Tamandua tetradactyla: one gene and its partner. The protein of the gene in region 1 interacts with the protein of each later gene in a pairwise test. Links are inferred from orthologs where the notes say so. Each region holds a gene or a part of one and is shown in the gene's direction. Other genes may lie near its edges.

Evidence for each region. The genes of interacting proteins can lie anywhere in the genome.
Region 2: the proteins of TOP1 (region 1) and BTBD2 interact in a two-hybrid assay, tested with the Homo sapiens proteins (2 studies listed by BioGRID). The link is inferred for Tamandua tetradactyla from reciprocal best matches to the Homo sapiens genes TOP1 and BTBD2.

What each region holds. Positions count from the first base shown.
Region 1 is NC_135327.1:11,132,315-11,142,927, reverse strand, and holds the start of TOP1 (DNA topoisomerase 1), read left to right. Parts: upstream 1-5,861; 5' UTR 5,862-6,131; coding exon 6,132-6,164; intron 6,165-6,484; coding exon 6,485-6,509; intron 6,510-6,878; exon of another isoform or gene 6,879-7,453; intron 7,454-10,613. UniProt on the Homo sapiens protein: Releases the supercoiling and torsional tension of DNA introduced during the DNA replication and transcription by transiently cleaving and rejoining one strand of the DNA duplex.
Region 2 is NC_135337.1:80,945,426-80,955,289, forward strand, and holds the start of BTBD2 (BTB/POZ domain-containing protein 2), read left to right. Parts: upstream 1-4,846; coding exon 4,847-5,283; intron 5,284-9,864.

The sequences.
Region 1 (10,613 bases):
CAGTCACCATCGAGTACTGTGGGGTGGTGGAGGAGAATGAGGATACTCAGTTTGGAAACTAGGAAGTCTCTGATTGGAATGGAAGCCAGATCAACAGTGTTTTGAAGGATGGGGAATAAAGCAGAAGGCGTAGCAAGTACAGACTATTCTTTTCAAATGTCTTAGACAAGAGGGAGGAGAACAGTGACCTCAGGGCAACTTGGGAGCAAGTTTGGGGGGTTAAGAGAGGGGGTTCCAAGAAAATTGACTGATAGCTACATAGACAGATAGACAGATGGATAGGCAGAATGATACATCAAATGTGGCAAAATGTTAAAATTCATGGATCTGGGTGTTGGGGGTTCTCTGTGTGGGTTTCATATTTTTTGTAACTGTCTATGAGTTTGAAATTACTTCAAAATAAAATGTCTAAGGGGAGGGAAAAAAAGATACACACACACACAAAGAGAGACAGGGCTCTGTAGTCAGGCTGCTTTACCACTCAGTAGCTGTGTGACTTTGGACAAATTAATTTAATTAGCCTTCCTAAACCTCAGTTTCCTTGTCAGTAAAATGGTGTAACCAGCAGTACCTGATTCATATGTGAAAATTAAATGAGATAACATGCATGAGGCCCTCACCACAGGGCAGAGCACATGGTAAGTAAGTAAAAAATTAATGTGAGCTATTATCTCTAACAGGATCAAGGGGGAAAATTGAAAGAGGAAGTAAGTGGAGAAGTTCCCCATGCAGGAGGGAGAGAAGATGCTTGAGGAAGCCAGGGTCTGGGGAGGTGAAAGGGATGGTATTGAGGATTTAGGGGGCTTAGTGAGAGGGGTGGGAAGCCAGATCTTTTAAAACCTGATCTTGGCTAAGCTGTCACTTGCTGGTTATTGGGTGAAGCTGCCGCTTCTGTTGCATTTTCCTGGGAAGTCATGCTGAATCAGCTTAGAGTTTCTCTCCTAGAATTTTCCAGTGTTTCTTGAAGCCTGGTTCCCACTTCTCTGGCTCCTCCTGCCCACTGGTTCAGCTTTCCAACAGGTAGAGGTAGCTGGACCTGAGTAGCAGCAGGATATCCCAGCAACACACCCTGTTAGGGGGAGATTCAGAGAGAGCTGCTGCCATAAACTTACCTTAGGCTTTACCCAAGGCATGGGCCAAAATCCTGCTGTCTCATTCAGAGTCCTCACCTTAGCATTCATTCCAAAGCAGTTGACAATGCTCCTGAGATACCTGCAATGGCCTCATTGCCTATCTCCAATGTCAGCTCTGCCAAACTGCCCTCATTTTGTCATATTTCTGGCTGCAACTGGAATTGCAAGCCTGAGTCTCCTTTCTGGAGTATCAAGGAAGTACTTTTCTGAGTATGTCTAAATCTTGAAAGGGCACTGGGTCCTCAGACAAGGCAATATGACCAGAGAGAACTGCTAGAAGATGCTGCTCTCAAAAGGATCGACAAAGCTGAGAAGGAGCAGGCATCCATGGGTTAAAATGTCAGGAGGGGGGATGCATGGTTGGTTCAGTGGTGGAATGCTTGCCTGTCATGTGGGAGACCTGGGTTTGATTCCCCGCCCATGGACTTCACCCCCTCAAACGAAAAATGCCAGGATGAGTATCCAAGGGTCATAACCTGAGGGGTCCAGAGGGATATCAGAGGCCTTGAGATTGCCCAGGAAGCAAATGTAGATTAGTACTCTATGTTAGAGCTCTTGATCTTAAGTGACCCATCAGAGCTGAATAGAGCAAAATACCATTGGGACTTTCTCTCCATCTCTTCTTATTTTGCATATCTATGTCTGTCTGTCTCTCTCTCTCTCTCTCTCTCTTTCAGCTTTCTCTGCTTCTCTGGTCCTATTGGCAGAAAATACCACTAGGGACAGCTCCCTAATCTACATGATAAAGATCCATCCACAAGAAGCAACCAAATCCCTTCTTCCTAATTCTGAAGTCCCAAGGAAGTGCATCTATAGGGTCCAGTTTGGATCAACTGCCCATCCTGGTCCACACAACAGTCAGAAGGCAAGCAGCACATTATACATTTCACTCTATAACCATGCATTGGGGAAGGTGTGCAGAAGGATTGGTCCCTGAAAAGCAGGAGGTATTCAGACAACCCTATAGGTGTTCAGTACTGGTAGCCAAGAGTTGGGCCAGCCCAGGTGAGTCAGAGGCAAATGAGTGAGGGCAGAATCTTGGGCAACCACTTAGATCAGGATGTCCCAAGACAGTCATTCCAAAGAGCCCAAGTCTCAAGAGGTAGTCTGGAAGAAAACAGTTTCTGTGTTTAAATGCATTTCGAAGACGTGCATGCATGTGTTAGCATATCAAAGGCTGCAAGAAGTCCCGTGGAAAATAAACCTGTTTAACTTTAAAACATAACAATGTATACATTTGTAGGAGGAGCTCTTCTTCTGGAGGAATATGTACTAGGTGTAGTCCACCTTTCACAGTGCATACTTTGGGAAAAAGACCTACAAAATCAGCTCTCATTTGCCTTTTTATGGGGCCTGGGACAGTCCACAAGTGAGCAGATTGATTTAAAGCAGCGTTTCCAGAGCTTGATTTGCTTGCCTATGACCTTTGTCATAGACCTAAGCTGTATCTCATTTGTCGTATCTGTGCTATTCCTTGATATTTTTATTTTAGTCAATCAACCAACTTTTTTTTTTCAAGCCTCATCCTTACATCCTTAAAATCATGGATTTGACGTGGTGGTTAAATGTCTTGTTTTCTCATATACATTGAAATATATCCATAACTATTAAAACAAAAATGTTTACCTATGTGTCACTATAATCTTCTCAAATACTAGATGGGTCACATTGTGGGGAAGTTTCAGGAGGGAGAGAGGCCACATGGGCCTGGGTAAGCCAGTGAACCCAGGCATTCGTTTTCTGCCCAGAGACCTCTGAACACTGCCAGTCACTCATGCTGGCTGTGTTAGATTCAGTTGTCAACTTGGCCAGGTGAAGGTGCCTAGTTCCATTGCTGTGGACATGAGCCAATGGTACATGAACCTCATCTGTTGCTCATTACATCTGCAGTCGGCTAGGAGGGGTGCCTGCTGTAATGAATGAGGTTTGACTTAATTGGCTGGTGCTTAAATGAGAGCGCTCAACATAGCACAGCTCAAGCAGCTCAGCATACCTCATCTCGGCACTTGCAGCTCAGCCCAGGCCTTTGGAGATGCAGAAAGAAATCACTCCGGGGAAAGTTGTTGGGACCCAGAGGCCTGGAGAGAAGCCAGCAGAGATCGCCTTGTGCCTTCCCATGTAAGAAAGAACCTCAGTCGAAAGTTAGATGCCTTTCCTCTGAAGAACTATACATTAACTAAATAAATCCCCTTTTATTAAAAGCCAATCCGTCTCTGGTGTGTTGCATTCTGGCAGGTAGCAAACTAGAACGCTGGCAGAGAAGCTCAGTCTGTGACAAGACTGCCTACAAACCTGTATGTTTGTGCATGGGGCACATGCTTGATAGGTTGCTCTGAAGTTTGCACTCTGTTTTCAGGCCCACTGGGGCAAATGCCCATTGGTAGACAAACGCAGATTCTCCTTGAGGACTTGAGAACGGAAGCAGGGCTGCAGTGGTAGTCCTGCTATCCCCAAAGGCAATCATCAAATTATACTGGTTTAACTGCAGCAAGCGGGTAGGGCCAGATTCTCACCTGGTGGCCTGGGATTGCTTCTGAGGCCTGGAAGATTATAAGGACAGGCACCAGAAGCAAGGTAAAACAGGCTCTGGCAGCTTGCTTCAGAAAGAGAGCATGGCTTTGAAGTCAAACAGACCAGAGTCTGAACCTAAGACTCACCACTTACAAGCCGTGTGTTCTCAAACAACTACTTTTTCAATAGCTTATTAGATTCCTACCATTAACACCATTGTAAAGATGAGGAAAATGGGACTCAGAGAATTTAAACAACTTGTACAAGGATACATAGCTAATAAGAGGCAAAGCAAAATTCAAACCTAGGTTGCTTTGACTTCCAAGGGTGTGCTTCTAACCAATGCATTATCCTGCTTTCACCCACTTGTTGATTGCGCACCTCTTTTGTAGGAGGGCCTGTGACTGGGTGCTGGGGATCCAACACCAAACAACATGAACAAGGTTCTTACCTTCACAGAGCTTCCATTCTACTGGGACAAAGACTAATTACCTGATTAGTAGCTTAATGACAATTGTGGTAAGTGCTCTATGAAGGGCACTTAACCTGGGAGTGAGGGGGGGCGGTCTTAGAAAGCTTCTTTGGGAAAGTTGTATTGAACTTTGAAGCATTCATAAGAATTAACTTCACAGGCAGGCAACAGTGGCTCAGTGGCAGAGCTCTCCCCTGCCACGCCGGAGACCTGGGTTCAATTCCCAGAGCCTGTCCATGACAAAAAAAAAAACAAAAAAAAAACTAACCTCCAAGTGTTTACCACTAGATGTGATAGAGATGATTTTACAGTCCAAGGGTGAACATTTTTCATATTTATTTTTAAATGAATTTCATAGATATTACTTAGGATGAAGCCAAACAAAAAAAGGGGGGTGAATTAAAATATTAAGTAATAATAGTGGAAGTGGTAATAGATATGGCAAAATTTATAGAGATCATACTTGAGTTAAGCTGGCTAAGCAAGGTCTTAAGAATGGTTACTTAAGGATTTAGGACATCATACTCTGAGTGATGGGAAGTGTGGTGGAAGTGAGGTCATGATTAGATCTTTGTGTTGGAAGAACTACTTTGGCAAGCGTTGCCGAGCGGTTTGTGGACCAAAAAGTTAAGCAGGGATCCTTATTAGTATTTTTAATAATCCATGAAAGAGGTAAGTTAGACTTGGACAGGCATGTGGGCAGGGGGCAGGAGAGAAGTAGACGGAACAAAGGGATGCAATGCGCAGGACTAATAAGAAATGAGAGAGAGGAATACGTCCAGGGTGGGGCTTCCCTAACTGGGTGGAGGAGGCGGATGAGTTTAGCCCAGAGAAGCTCATGAGGCATCTAAGTATAGATGTCAGGTAGGCGATTGTAGGTCACTTATCTCTGAGACACTTTGACTTTTTAAAGACAAACTTAGAGAGCTATTACTAAACTTCAGAACAGAGTACATAGTAGATGTCCCCACAAATTTCCCTAAATCACTCCACTCCATTTCCAACAGCATACTGGGGACAAAGCGGTGGACAGCGCCCGGGTGTTTCCACTCCCTTTGGTACCAGGCCCCCTTCCTTAGCACAATTCCTGGCTCAAAGTAGATGCTCGTTACCTAATTGCAGAACGAAAGAATGAAATTAGACCCTCTGTAGCCCAGGGCTCCATGTACTCAGCTGGAAACTGGGACTAACCCAGACTCTCGGTTGTTGAAAAAGTAAAATAATTTTCTTAAGGGGGTGTGAAAAAATCCTTAAGTAGAATGGTTTCGACAAAGACTGCGAAGGGGTAGCTGCCGCCAAGCGGTCTCAGTGCCAGGTCAGCAAGCGAGGACGCACCGGTGTGTGCTCTGGAACCCGCGCCGCCAGCATCGAGTTTCCTCAGTTCACGGGAGATGCTGATGATCCACCCGGGCCTTGCTCGGTCCCGCCGCGGCCTTTAAAGGCCCACCACGTGTCCGCGCCGCGGGCCTGGGTCTGGAGGCGGTGTCCCCGCAGCGCGTGCGCACTCTCTAGCAGAGCCATCCTGGGTTCCGAGAAAAGGCTCGTGGACAGGACCGGAAGGTTGCTCTTGGTGGGCGGCGGTGGGAGGAGCCGGCTCCTTATGCAAATCACAGCGCCGTGCGAGGGCTAGGGGCGTGGCCTGAGATGCAAAGCCGGGTTCTCCTAGCGAACCGTGAGGGGGCGGGTCCCGCAACCCTCGGCCTTTTTCCGCGAGTCTCTGACGTCGCCGGCGTCCCGTTTAAAAGCGGCCGCGCAGGCGCAGTGAGTCGAAATGCGAACTTAGGCTGTTACACAACTGCTGGGGTCTGCTTTCGCCGCCCGCCCGGCAGTCAGTCACCGTCGCTGCCACTCTTGCCGCCTCAGCCGCTCCCGGAATCTTAGGGCCGCTGCTGTCGCGGCTTATCCGCGGCTTCGGGAGCCTCCGGGAGCCCTCGTCCCCTGCAGAGCCCGGTCCCGACCGTCTGCGTCTCCTTCGCGCCCCCTCGCCGCCCGCCGCACTCGCCGCTCCGGCCGACATGAGCGGGGACCATCTCCACAACGATTCCCAGGTATGCCCCGCCCGGCCCTTCCCGGCGCCCAATCACCGCCCCGGCCCTCCCGCGACCCCCGGCGCAGGCCCCGGCCCGGCTGCTTTGACAGGCCGGAGTTCCCGGCGAGGAGCCGCCCGCCAGGGCAGATCGGCTCGCTAGGCCGTGGACCAAGGCCACGAAGTTATAGTTTGTGGGGGGTTCAGCTGCCCTTATAGGCGGTTCCCGGGGTCCCCTCATTCCAGTGGGCGCAGGGTGGACTAGGCCCCCGGTCGCGCGCGCACACCTCCCGGGGGGCTAAATTGCCTGTTGTTTTATATTCCCTCCTTTTCTTTCTCCAGATCGAAGCGGATTTCCGATTGAATGGTGAGTGTGTCCCCGGCCCCTCGACCCCGCCCCGACCTCGGGCCCCCCAGCAGCCGGCCACCCACCCGGCGCCCGGCCGGAGCCCGGCAGAGGACAGACATGGCGCCCCAGAGACTAAGTCCCGGCTCCTCGCTTACCGGCCCCATTGTTCCCATCGGGCCGCCTCTGGATCCCCTTTCCGGGTACCCTAGCCCCCCCAGATCGCGGCCCTCCCCAGAGGGGGCAACCGAGACCCCGCATCGCCCGCCGCCGGGTCTCGGGGAACCTTCCCGAGCCCGGATTCCTCCCGGGAAAGTCGCCTTGTCGACGGTCGGGACTTAGTCTCTGCGCCATTTTCTTTTTCTCTCTCCTCTCCTTTCTGTGCCTGTGTCTTTCTCTCCCTCCCTCGGCTCCTTCCTTGAGCTGTCCAGAAAGGGCTTTCTGCAGAGCAAAGCAGTAGAAATCACAAAGCTCACCCGGGAAGGAAGGGTGGGAGATTGAATTACCATTATTTTTTCCAAATGGAACTTTATTTTGGGGGTTATTCCCTTTCTGCTTCTGGTTTGCTTCCTCTTCTGCTTCCAGAATGAAAGATTCCTTTCGTCAACTGTGTTGTTCTTTTGGTAAGATGTTTATGATAGGAATTATGGCTCTAAAACTAAAGCTGCTCTTTGTGGAGTTCTTCATAATTCCACACTGCTTTTTCCAAGTTCTGTTCTTTGCAAAGATGGTAGTACCTCCCTTACCCTTCAGAAAGTTTGCAGATTTTCTGTGAACCATCCATGTAAATGTTGGACTCTGGCATGTTGATTTCTTAAAGATTAAGGCATTAATGCCTAGAACTTTTTCACTGTGGCAGGTTTCTCAAAGCAGTGTTTCTCAGAAGCCCAGTTAATGTAGTTGCCATGAAGAAAGGTTGAGCATCCCATCTAACCTAGTATATTGGCCTTTTTTGGAGGGGAGGCCTGTGGAGAGGGGAAGAAAAAGAAGATTTTAATTATTGAAACAGAAAGTGGCCAGCCCCCACCCCTGCTTCCTATTCATTCCTTTTCAGAAGCCGCTGTTTTTCCGGAGGCTAGCCAGTGTTTCCCAGATCTTTCTGTTTTTGAACTCTTTTCAACCAAGTCAAGACATTTATTTGCATATTTCTACTGTCCTTACTCAGTAAAGACTAACTCCCCAACTCTGCCCCCAGTTGAAAGCTCACCCCTGTAGACTTTCCAACAATTCTGTTGAAGGAGAAGGTACCCCATGTAATGTGCTGGGAATTCCTACTAATTGTGTTGGTATGTAATCCTGCTCACTTGAGTTTGGGTTCTGGGAACTTCTCCGGGGGAGAAGCTGATGAGTAGGTTTTCTGGTGTTGTTATGGACAGTCCTCGGTGTTACCCTACTCTTCTGAGAGTTGTCTTGTGTTCATATTTTGAAGTGGGACACCCAGCAAGAGATGGTGCTCTCTAGGGAGAAAATCAGTTCAAGTGTAGCATTTCTTGAGCACTTAACATGTGCCAAGCACTCTGCTTAGTGCTAAAGTTGAACTTGCAGAGCACTCCTCTTGCCCTCAAGTAATCCGTTCTGTTGGGGGAGACATGATTTGTTCATTTTAAGGTAACTACTGGGGCAGATTTGGGAGCTTTAGGGGATTTAATTTTGCCTACGGTGGGGAAGTTTCTCAGAGGAGGTGACTTCTGAGCTGGGTCTTGTGCAAGACCAGGTGCTGAGAGAATGGTCGGGTTGGAGTGTTTAACTACCTGTTTAGCCAATGTATCAGGATTTTAAAAGGGGGAAGAGATGAGGCTTCTGCAGTCCAAACAGCCACAAAGAGTATGGATATGTTTGTTTGGGATATGGGGGCAAAGGATGTGGCAGGTGAGAATGTAAGAAGTCTTGTTTGGAGGAAGGTAGGATCTTAACAGAGAAAGAGAATTGTTTGCTTCTTGACTGGGCTGAGTAGGTAATGTATTTAGTAATGAAACAAAGTTTATCCCTTTCTCCTCATGAGTAAGCTAACTACTATGATATTTAAGTAAATTAGACAAAGAAACTATTGAACATGTGAATGATTGTGGGCTGGGTTGCTGGGTAGCTGGTTATCTTTATTGACTTTGTTACAGAGAATGAAGTAAACTGGCTAGAGTTTTTGAATGTGTCTATATACATGTAATAAAAATAACAGCTAGTATTTATTGAACACTTACTGTCTTTCAGGTATGATTCTCAGCTCTTTCCATGCATCATCTAATCTAATTCTCAGAAGGACCTTTATTAGTTAGGTACTATTATCTCCATTTCATGTCAAAGGAAACTGAGGCTTGGGTATGTTTACTAGCTTGCCCAAGAGCAGTGAGTTGTGGATTCCAAAACCCAGGAATCCACATACAGCTTTGCCGCTATGCTATCTATACAAATGATTCTAGCATGAAATTAAAACCTGCCTGTCTCTACTTTCTTAGCAGAGCTGAAAAGAGAGAGAGGGAAGGATTTGATAGTTTATCATTTTCTTAGTTTTTATCTAATTTTGCGCCTTCAAGAGAAAAGCACTTTTTCTGAATCTGCATGTGTAAGGTTCTTGATATGGAAATAATTATCTTTGTGGATTTTGTCTAGAAGAAAGATGTGGTGCTAGTAACTTTGTGCTTACTCTATCAAGTAACACACTGGTAACTAGTGATTGATTTGTGCAGCTTTAAAAGATAGTTTTTAAAAAATAAAAATCAGTGCTTACTTATGTTCAGACATATCATTATTAATCTTTGTATTAACAGGAGTTTGCTTAAGCATTATTTTAAGAGGGAAAGATCATGTATTAAAATTAAACATCCCTTATCTTGCTTGCTCTTATCCCCTAAAATCTAAAAGATTTTTCCCCCTTTTGAGTCCCATAGTTTAAACTCTTGCAGTTAGTGTGGGATTTAGAATATTATGACACATACTCAACTGTTGGAAAAATCTGTTATTTGTGAACTGTATTCCTAACTTGAAATATTTACTGAACTGGAAGTTTGAGAAGCAGGAACCATAACCTCTCTTTCATATCTAGGGGAAAATACTTTTTCTAAGTGTTGGTAGCACTATGTAGTGTGTCCGAGGGCACTACTGCAGTAAGTACACACTGCCTAGACTGGAGAGTTGGTAGTGATAACATCAGGTTGGGGTGTTAGTGATCCTTTTGCTGTTTTAAGCACTTGAAGTTTTTGCTCATCTACTCTGAAGTGTGGGTTTTGTTGTTTTTTTCCTACTGTTGATCAGTAATTAATGTTGATTCACTTTGCATGAGCAAAATAACTTGACTTCAGCATTGATAATTCTAAGAAATGTTATGGTCATGGTTTGACATCGTCTTGTGTTGATTTTGGTCAGCTTAACAGATTCGAATTTGATGGGGGGAATTGAATATGAATTGTTTCTGCTGCTAACAGATAGTTGTATTTATGTGCTTTTGGATACTGATTAGGGTGGAGGGTGAGAAGGATGATGTGGCTTTCTGAAATGTCCTGTCATTTAAAACTGAAGCGTGATAGCACCTCCAAATGAAATCTGGCAAATTCTTTAGACTCGATCCGGAAACACTTAAGCATTGGGCTCTAGTGTTGTCTTTCCACTACAGCCAGCTATTGGGGGCCTTTTCAGAATTAGCTGTTGAAGAATCTTGATACTACATTTTGAAATGAAATTGAGTTACTTGTCAGCATGTGCTTTTTAAATGAACCAGCATAACATATCTCACAAATTTTAGACTACAGTGTTCCTGGTAAAACAAGAAAAGCCAGGATCTACTAAAGGAATCAGGAATGCCTCATAGTTTGCAGAGTGAAAGCTAGATAACCTAAGCTCGCTGGCCTTACCCCAGGTAAGAAGATAAAGTGGAGAATAGGACCCAGGTCGGTCCCCAAATCTTTAACCAACAGTAACAACAACAAAAAGAATTGTCTGACTTTTCCCTCATTGTTAACATAAAAATGGGGAATTGTAAGGATTTGAAAGAGGAATGCAATAATTTACTCAGGGTCATAGTAAATTAGTACTAATTTGTATGCATGCCAGAGATTCTTAATGTGTTCTAAAGCTTATATTCCAAAATTAGGCTGTGGTATTAAAAACACTGATAGCTTTTTTGGCTTTTCA
Region 2 (9,864 bases), on another chromosome or scaffold:
GCTTCATGAAGAGTTTGCAGACTCTTGGGGGTATCGTTTGCGCCACTGGATGAGCAGGAAGCACTGGCAATCAGGGCACCACCAGCACCCCAGAACTCTACAACTTAAACAGAGAGCCCCAAGGGCTTGGGGCGGGACTGCACAATGCCCACAGAACCTTCCTGCCCTATGCACTCCCATTTGCAGTGGGATTTTGACAAAGGGGCATCGCTCTCTCCACCCCCTGAGCTCAGGAATGGTTTGCACATGCTTTGACCAATGGAATGTGCTGGAAAAGGTCGGGCGTGTTCTGTAGTCCAGGCCCCAAAAGACTCCAAGAAGTCTTGCAGCATCTGCCTTTTCCCCGACATCGCAATGGAGGCAGGAAGCTCCCAGCCAGCCGCAGCCAGCACTGCCTGCCCAGTACAGGAATGGAGCCATCTCGGGCCACCGGGCCCCGCTGCCCGCCCCAAGTACCCGTGGCTGCATAGCTTAGTCCCAGTTAGACCAGCAGTAGGACTGCCCAGCCAACCCATGGGATGATGAAAAGCAAAATGTCTAGTTTCCCTGCCCCTTGACAGTTTATTATGAAAAATTTCAAACGTACAACACATTCTAAATAATTTTATAGTGTGCATCCCAGACTGAACATCTACATTCCATCATGGCTATTTTAGTATCCCTGTCTTATCTCCAACCTTCGGTCCCTTCATCATGCCAGTTTATTTATTTATTTTACTTTTTATGGTATTAATATCTGTACCACTCAAAATTTCAATTTTAGCAACTCTCAAGTGTACTTTAGTTGTATTAACTATAATATTGTGCCACTACTGCCCCATCATCCATCACCACAACTTTTGCATCATTTCAAATAGAAACTGTGCATCCATTTAAGCAACAGCTTCTTCTCTCCCACCTGCCCCACACCCTGTTCCCTTGGTAATCTGGAATCTTCTATCTGCCTCTAGGAAATCTGTTACTTCCGAGTATTTTATGTATGCATGATTATACTATATCTGTCCTTTTGTGTCTGGCTTACTGCACTCAACATGATGTCTTCCAGCCTCATTCATGTTGTCATATGTATCACAACATCCAGTATTACAGCTGAATAATACTCCATTGTGGGCATGTTTATCCGTCACCTGTTGATCGACCCTTGGGTGGCTTCCACCTCTTGGCTCTTTGGAATAACACTGCGATGAGCATTGGTGGACAAATATCTAACCGAAAACTGCTTTCGGTTTTTTTTGCATATATACCCTAGAAGTGGAATTGCCAGGTCACTCATTAATCCAATGTTCAACTTCCTGAGCAACTGCCTCATTGATTTCCACAGCAGCTACACCATTTCAAAGTCTCACGAGCAACATAGAAAAGTCCTTATTTCTCTGCATCCTTGCCAGCATTTGTTTTTGTGTTTTTTTTTGTTTTAAGTAATGGCTGTCCGAGGGGGTGTGAGGTGGTATCTCATTGTGGTTTTGATTTCCCTTCTCCTGATAACCAGTGATTTAAGTATCATTTCATGCATGTATTGGCCATGTGTTCATCTTATTTTTCAATCATTTCCGGGTTGCAAGCATCAGTTTACTGCCTCCCGAATAAGTCAGTGTGAAAACCACCAGCATATCGGTCACCTGAGTTTGATATTTGCTTATTTTATTTTTTTTGAGGTGAAATCTACAGGTAATGACTTGCATGTTTCTGAAAAGGAAACTTCTGTTAAGATCCAGAATGCCCCATTCATCCCCTGGTTGGAGAATAACGGCTCCTAAAGATACCATGTCCTAATCCTGGAACCTGTGACAGTCCCATCCCGTGGCAAAAGGAACTTTGCAGACGGGATTAAGTGAAGGGCCTTGAGATGGGGGATTCTCCTGGATTATCTGGGGGGTGGGGGCTCAATGTCATCAGAAATGTCCTTTTCAGAGAAAGACTCCAAGGTCAGCATCAGAGAAGAGGACGTGATGACGGAGGCAGAGATTGGAAAGTGATGGGTGGCCACAAGCCAAGAAATGCGGGTGGCTTCTAGAAGCTAGAAAATGCAAAGGGCATTCTCTTCCAGGACCCCCAGAAGGAAGGGATGTCCTGTTGACAGCTTGGCTGTAGCCCAGTGAGGTCCTTGCTTCTGATCTCCAGAACGTAACATAATAAATCTGTGCTGTTTTAAGCCCCTAACTTGGTGGCAATTTGTTTCAGTATCCTTAGGAAGCTGACAGACAACCCCAGAAATGTCCCCCCCCCCAGGTGACACATCTATGTCTCAAGGCGGTTGCTGTGTGGTAACAGGTATCTAACTGAAACAATGACTATTTATGTAAATAAGCACACGGTGTCTGGGATTATTACAAAGATGCAAGAACAAAGCCACTTCTTTGTCATCAGTGGGAGGTGTTCACCTGGGGCAGGTGCATGAACTACGTGCCTTTAGCCACGAATTACAGGAAATCAGACTTAACTTGCTTAAAACTGTAAAGACGTTTATTAGCTCATAGAACAGAAAGCCCCAGGCTAGTTCGGCTTGCAGGTATGGTATGATCAGGGTGTTTCAGCCCAGTTACGCAGACCCAGACTCCTTCCATCCCTCTGCTCTAACCCTAACCTTCAGGCCCCCTCCTCCTTCTCATGCACAGAACCCCTTCCTGAATTTCCCGCCCTGGCAGACTTTCATCACATTGGCAAGGTTTGTTTGCCCATCCATTCCCGAACCAAGCAACGGGCGAGGCACTAGCTCTCACCACTTTAGTGACTGTCATCTTGGATCTTAGTTTCGAATCAGCAGTTATTTTAGGCACTGTTGATACAAATATCATGGTCTGTATTTATATTTTATGTTAACAGATTAAGAAAATAAGAAATGAAACAGGTTATAATCAAGATCTTCAGGGACTTCTATGGCTTATCTATTAAATTATAGTTGGAGTGAGAAACTAAGGATTTAATTAGGCATATGATAGAGCAGGGGTCTGCAAACTTTTTCCATAAAGGACCAGACAGCAAACATTTTCTGCGCTGCAGGCTCTGTGTTTCTCTGTTGCAATTACTGAACTCTGCTGCTCTATGGTAGAGGCAGCCAGAGGTACATGCAAATAAATGGCTGTGGCTGTGTACCAATAAAACTTTATTTACAACCATAGGTGGAGGGCCATATTTGGCTCATGGGCAGGCCATAATTTGCCAAGGGGGACAATGTTAGAATTACATTGGAAATAGCAGAATGAAGTTACGATTTAAAAAATATACTTTTTTGAGTCCATCAGTGAAGGAGCCTCCGAAAGGTTTTCTGCCAAAAACTCATGTTTGATAATTGGAGAGCTCTCCCAACAGTTAAACTCTTCTCTACCTGAAGAGTTCCCCATAACTGGGTCTGTACTCATGGACAAGGAAGGTGCAATGTGGCATATGTTTGCTCAGTGTGGCATATGTTGAGCCAGGAGGCTTAAAATTCTGGGTGGGAGTGGGTTGTAAGGGTAGTTCAGTGGTAGACTTCTCACCTACCATGCAGGAGATCCGGGTTCGATTCCCAGTTCATTCACCTCCCAAAACATAAAAACAAATGGTGCTGCAATAATAGGATACTCACATGGAAAAATAACGAATGACCCTGCGATACAGCATACAAAAAAAAAAGAAGGTCCAGGTGGCACATCTAGGGGAGCCCCTTATCAACGAACATTAGAGTTAACTAAAACAACTCTAGACTGTGAATGCACATGGATGCATAAGGATTCTCAAAACTGATGAACGAGGATTTCCTTTCTTTGTCCAGGAGCTAGTACTATCTCTGAACCTGATTTTATTCGGATGAAAAAAAAAGTTTTCATTTCTGTTTGTCCTTTTTCAGCACTCCTGTCCCAAAAGAGTGATATCCTCTTATCATATTACATATATTCATGAAGATTCCAACTCTATAAGATGGGTCTATTCTTTGTATGACACAAAGACAACAAAGTAATATGCCAAAGTGCTAATACTGGTAAAATTTGGAGGGTGGATGAGAGATGATATTAATTTTTATTTTCCTATATATTTCCTATCTTTTCCAAGTTTTGTTTTATTTTTCTCTTTCGTTTTAATTACAGAAGTTGTAGGTTTACAGCTGTCCATAAAATCCTGAGTTTCCATATAGCACCCTATTATTAATACCTTATATTAGTGTGCTAATATTTTTCATATATTACTTTCAGAATTAAAAAAATTTTTTTTGCATCCCCTCTCCCAGGCTGAACCTCCCAGGCTGCATCCCCAGATGAAGGGACCCTGTTGTGGGCCCTCCTGGCTTCCTGTCCCTCAGTTTTTTGACATTTGGTCACTGATGCCCTTGGACGTGCTTTGATTGTGCTTAGTGGTTTGGGGGGTTTCCAGCTCTGCCCACGCTGCCCAGCGAGCCCTGGCCCAGCAGAGGCCCCATCTACCTGCTGGGTCCCCAATGCACGGACGCCCCCTCGCCAGGGGCCCCAGTTTGCCCCCTCTGTACTAGGGGGTCCCCTACACTGGAGGAGTAGAATACCTGGGGCTAAGGTCTGGGTCCGGGATCCAGGTCTGGGGTTTGGAGCCTGGGGTGCAGGGACTAGAATGTGGGGTCGAGATTTAGAGTCGGGGTCTGGAGTTAGGGATCTAGGGACGAGACGCCCGGGAGAGGTATCTGAGTCTGGGTCCGGCCCTCCCCTCCCCACCCCTCCCCTTTCCGCTCGTCTCCCCTCCCCCTCCTCTCTCCCCTCCCCGCTCTCCCCTCTCCCCTCTCCCCTCCCGGGTCCCTCCTCTCCCCTCCCCCTCCCCCTCCCCCTTCCCTGCCCCCTCCCCCTCCCCCCTCCTTCTCCCCCCTCCCGGCCCCGCCCTCCCCCCGCGGCGCCGCACCGACAAGATGGCGGCGGGTGGGAGCGGCGGGCGCGCGTCGTGCCCGCCGGGGGTCGCCGGCTCCGGCGCGGGGGGCGGCCCGGGGCCCAGCGCCAACGCGGCCGCCCCGGCCCCCGGCAACGCAGCTGCCGCCGCCGCCGCCGCCTCCGCCGCCGCCCCCGGCTCGGGCCCCGCCGCCCCCGGCGCGCCGCCCCCCGTGCCGGGCCCCGGGCCGAGCGCGCAGGCCGCGGCGGGCTGCGGGGAGCGGGCGGCCGAGGAGGCGGCGGGGCCCGGGCCGGGGGCGGCGGGGCCGGGGGCGCTGCTCCGCGAACCCGCGTACAACTGGCAGGCCACCAAGCCCACGGTGAAGGAACGCTTCGCCTTCCTCTTCAACAACGACGTGCTCTGCGACGTGCACTTCCTGGTGGGCAAGGGCCTCGGCGCGCAGCGCGTCCCCGCGCACAGGTGGGCCTGCCGTCCCCGACCCCCGCCGACCCCGGCCCCCGGGCCCCTCACGCCCGGGCTCGTCCGGATTCGGATCCCTGGGCCCCAGCACTCGCAGGCCCCCCGTCCCCGGCCGGGGACCCTGGGTGCCGCCACCCACCTTCCACTCCCCCCACCCTCGAGACCCCCGGGGCCCCCGCTCCCGTTAGAGGCGCTTGCCCCAGCGACCCCTGGAAGCCAATCACACGAGCCCTCCAGGGATCCCTGGGATCTACGACCGGAGATTCCTACCCGGGACCCCCTGCCCTTGATTGATCGGTGGGCCCCGCCCCCAACTGCGCCCCTGGTCCGAACACGCACACCCCCCCTACCCCAGCCTCTTGGCTACCCACCCACCCCCAACCCAGACCTCTGGCCTTAGAAACCCACCCCCCCCCACCCCCCCCACCCCCCCCCCCGCCCATCTCCTCAGCCTGGGCTCAGGAACCTGGCACCACCACCCCCAACCACCACCATTTGCTCCTGGTTCAGGGGGCTCTACCTTGCTCTTCTTCCCTCAATTTGCCCTAGAGGGATCTCTTCTTCCAAGCCTCTGCCCCTTCCGTGCACCGTGAGCTCAAGTGCAGCAGCACCCCTGTTCCCCTCCCCTCCCCGACCTGTAGTCACCGGCCATCCCCAGGCCTCCTTTCTGGAAGGAGGGGTTGCTCCAGCCTTCTTCTCTGCCACCCCCCTGCAGAGTGCAGCCCCCAGACTCCAGGGTTCTTCCCATCCTGGGTGACATGCAGCTCTTACTGAACTTGTGTCTTTGAGACCCTTTGTTTCCGGCTTGCTCTTGGCTTTTTCTGCCGGTCGTGGTCCTCCCTGTTTGGGTCTCTGGGGATTGGTGGCCGTGTCCCTTGGCCCGTGCTTGTCTCTGCATTCCAGCCCTTTCCTTCTCCATCCAGGGGGCCTGGCCTCTGCTGCTGCCCCCCAAGCTTGGAATGGGAGGCCTTGGGGGTGGGCAGCCTGTGAACCCTCTCTACCCCTTGCCCCCCTGCGCCTCGGCCTGCCCATGGGGTTCCTCAGTTGCCGCCTGGCACCATGGGGTCTTGAAAGATGTTCCTTCTTTCCCATCACCTCCCTTGAAACATGCTGGAATAAGTAAAGCGAAGTTGGCAGCCCCCTCTCCCTCCCAGCTCACGGTCAGCTCTTTGGGGTGGAGTGGGCCATTTGGGGATCTGGGTTTTCTGTTGGAAGGGGCTGGTGGAACCCTGTCACTGTGAGTTTTGGAAGTACTGGACTTTGGGCGTGTGTCTGGTTCCTGGAGTGTCTGTTTGCATGTTGACCAAGGGGGACCAAGGATCCCCTGAGCAAAGAAGGAGGCAGGTGGGGGTTAAGTGAGGATGGGGTAGCTAATGACGATTTCCGGGCATGTGGGGGGCTCTCCAGGTTGCCCAGGAGTGGTAGTGGTCTGACCTTCTCCAGGGGTAGCCGCCTGAGCAGATGATACCGAGTGGGCAGCATGGGGAGCTTCAGAGTCAGGGGTGTGCAGGCCAACTGGAAGGAGCTGGGCAAGTGGGAGCCACAGCAAGGCTGGAGCCAGAGGAGCAGGGGGGCGGGGCGCAGCTTGTGGAGTGGTATTCAAGGGCTCTCAGAGGTGCTTGGGAAGGTTGACCGAAGGGGGAAGTGGAATGGTGCAGTTTTTCTTTGGGACAAGGTATGTCCCATGGCTCCCTGAGAAAGTGGCTTGGCAGATGAGGGAGAGTGGGGAATGGGGGCGGTGGGCTGTAATGTTGGGGTCTCCTGACTTCTGACTTAAGTGTGTGCAGGCAAGGACAAGCTGGGGTGGGGGTTAAGTGTTCCCTGGGGCACGTGGTGCTAGGGGGGTCTGATATCCCTGGCGGGGTGATGTATCAGCATTTGGGTTGGGAAAGTGGCGTTGCGCCCGGAGCAGGTGTGATCTGGGGTTTGCAGCATGTGGGGCTCCATGAGTTGAGCAAGTGACTGGAGAAGGGGGGCCCTGGAACCATTTCTCAGTAATGCCAGTGAGGGGCCTCCTGGAAAGTGGGGTCTCAGGGCACAGGGACGGGTGGGTCCTTCAGTGCTGGGCAGGGCAGAGGCGTCAGAGTTGTAATGCTTCCTGGGGATGGGGGGCAGGCCGTGAGGTGTACCCACATATAGGGCTTGAAGGCCATGGTCCTGGGGCAAGCTGGGCACCGGGGCTGCAGGTTTGTTTTGGTTTAAGATGGGGTGGGGGTGAGTATCTAAATGCCATGTCGGTGAAGCCTGTCCTCTCTGGCAATAGTAGCTGCAGCGACTTGCCCTGAGCTCGCGTGTTGGACGTGTCTGCCGCCCCCCAGAAGCGCCCAGAGGCCCTGCCACTGGAGCCCCGACTGTACGCTCGCACTTCTCCTTTCTTTCCAGGCCTCAGGTTGTAATTCCACTCATGCTCTTGACACTTTACCTGCGTGGGTGGCGCAGGCCATTGCTGGGCCAGGAGTGGCTGCGTGGCCTGGGCGGGTACCCACTGGGCCTCAGTGTTTATACCTGTGAGATGGGGCGGATGGGACACCTGGGTTAGCTGGAGATTAAAGGCCCTGGCAGCACATGCAAGGCCGCAGACAGGCTTAACGCTGGTTGACCTGAAGAAGAAAGTAAATCCTGGGGAGTCCACTCCAGAGAAAGTGACGGCCTTTCATTGCAGGAGAATCCCAAGTGTAAGGTGTAGAGACGCACCAGCCCGAGGTGAACTCTGGCTGGACTGGGCTGGGTGTGGGCACTGGCTTCAGGAGAGCAGAGCAGACAGGGGACAATGGTAACTTGAACGTGGGAAAGCTGAGCGGGTCCATCCAGGGGTCAAGGTCAGGTCACCAGTAATGTCATGTGGGTGTCAGGTGCCCCAGGCCAGGATGGGAGGAGCAGGGCACAGTTACCTCCACATTGTGGATTGAATGGAGCCCCTGCCACAAGCCCTGGAACCTGTAAGTGGGCCCTTCTCTGTCTCCATTACTTTGCCTTTCTAGTTATTTCATATGAGAAATTACACACTATTTGTCCTTTTGTGTCTGGCTCATTTCACTTAATACAATATCTTCAAGATTCATCCGTGTTGTAGTAGCGTGGACCAGCCCTTCACTTCTTTTTACAGCTGGACAGTGTGCCATTGTCTGGATGAACCGTATTTTGTTTCTCCAACTACCTGTTGATGGACCCTTGGGTTGCTTCCACTTTTTGGTCATTGTGAATCATGCAGCGATAGATGTTGGGGTAGAAATATCTGAGTCCCTGCTTTCAGCTCTGTGGGGCATATACCTTGGATGGGCAGTATATCTTCATTCTGTAATTATATATATATATATATGGTAGTTCTTTATGAGAATCTGCTAATTATTTTCCACAGCGGAGCCACCATTTTACATTTTCAGGGTTCTTTGATAGGAGCCATGCTTCTGGGGTGAGGTAGCTCATGGTTTTAGTTCGCCTTTCCCTGATGGCTAATGAGGTGAGCATCTATCTGTTCATGTGCTTTTTTTTTTGGCCATTTGTAGATCTTTGTTGGAGAAATGGCAATCAGTTCCTTGTCCCATTGTTTAATTAGGTTGTTTGTCTTTGTTGTTGAGTTGTAGGGGTTCTTTATATGTTCTGGATGTTAAGTCCTTATTAGATTGGGGGTTTCCAGATATTTTCTCCTATGGTGGTTTTTTCACTTCCTTTCTTTTTAATGTTTTATTTTGAAATACTTTCAAACGTACAGGACACTTAAAAAAAATGTGCAACCCTCGTAGTCAACTCCAAAGTACCCTCTCCCTGCCCAAATACCTAGATCCACCAGTGTTAACATTTTGCCATATTTGCTGAATCTATCTGTCCACCTGCCTGTCAGTCCATCTAGGTAGCTGTCTGAGGTTGTACACATGATGCTCCTTGAACACTTAATGATTCCATGTACATTTCTTAAGACCGAGGCTATTCACTAGTGAAACCACTGAAGTGCAGTTATCAAATTCAAGAAATTTAACATCAGTCTAAGGCTTACAGTCTACATTTCAGTTTTTTCACCTGTCCTGTTATTGGGAATTGAATCATGTCCCCACAAGAGACATGTTCTCAACTACTCAACTACTGGTCCTGTGAATCCATTTGTAAGTTGGACCCTTGAAGATGTTATTGCTTAAGGTGCTCACACTGAATGAGGGTGGCCTTAATCCACTAAGCCGAAGTCCTCATCAGGAATGGAAATTGGAGACAGAAAGAGAAGCCACAGGGATTAGCTGCAAGCTAGAAGTTGGCTGAATCTGGAAGAGAGAGGGAGGATGCTGCCATGACCATTACTAGGTGACGGAAATGCCAAGCACTAGGGACGCCCAGCAGCCCGGAACCCAACAGTCCTCAGGGAGAAAGCATCGCCTTGCTGACACCTTGATTTTGGAGTTCTCCTATCCACAACACTGTGGGCCAATAAATTCCTGTAGTTTTAGCAAATCCATTGTTGGTATTTCTTTTAGGTATTTGTTTCATTTGGCTAAGGAACAAGATGGTTTTTAGTACCAGGAAGTGGGGTGCTGCTATTGCAAATACCAAAAATGTGGAAACAGCTTGGGAGTTGGGTGATGGGTGGAGATG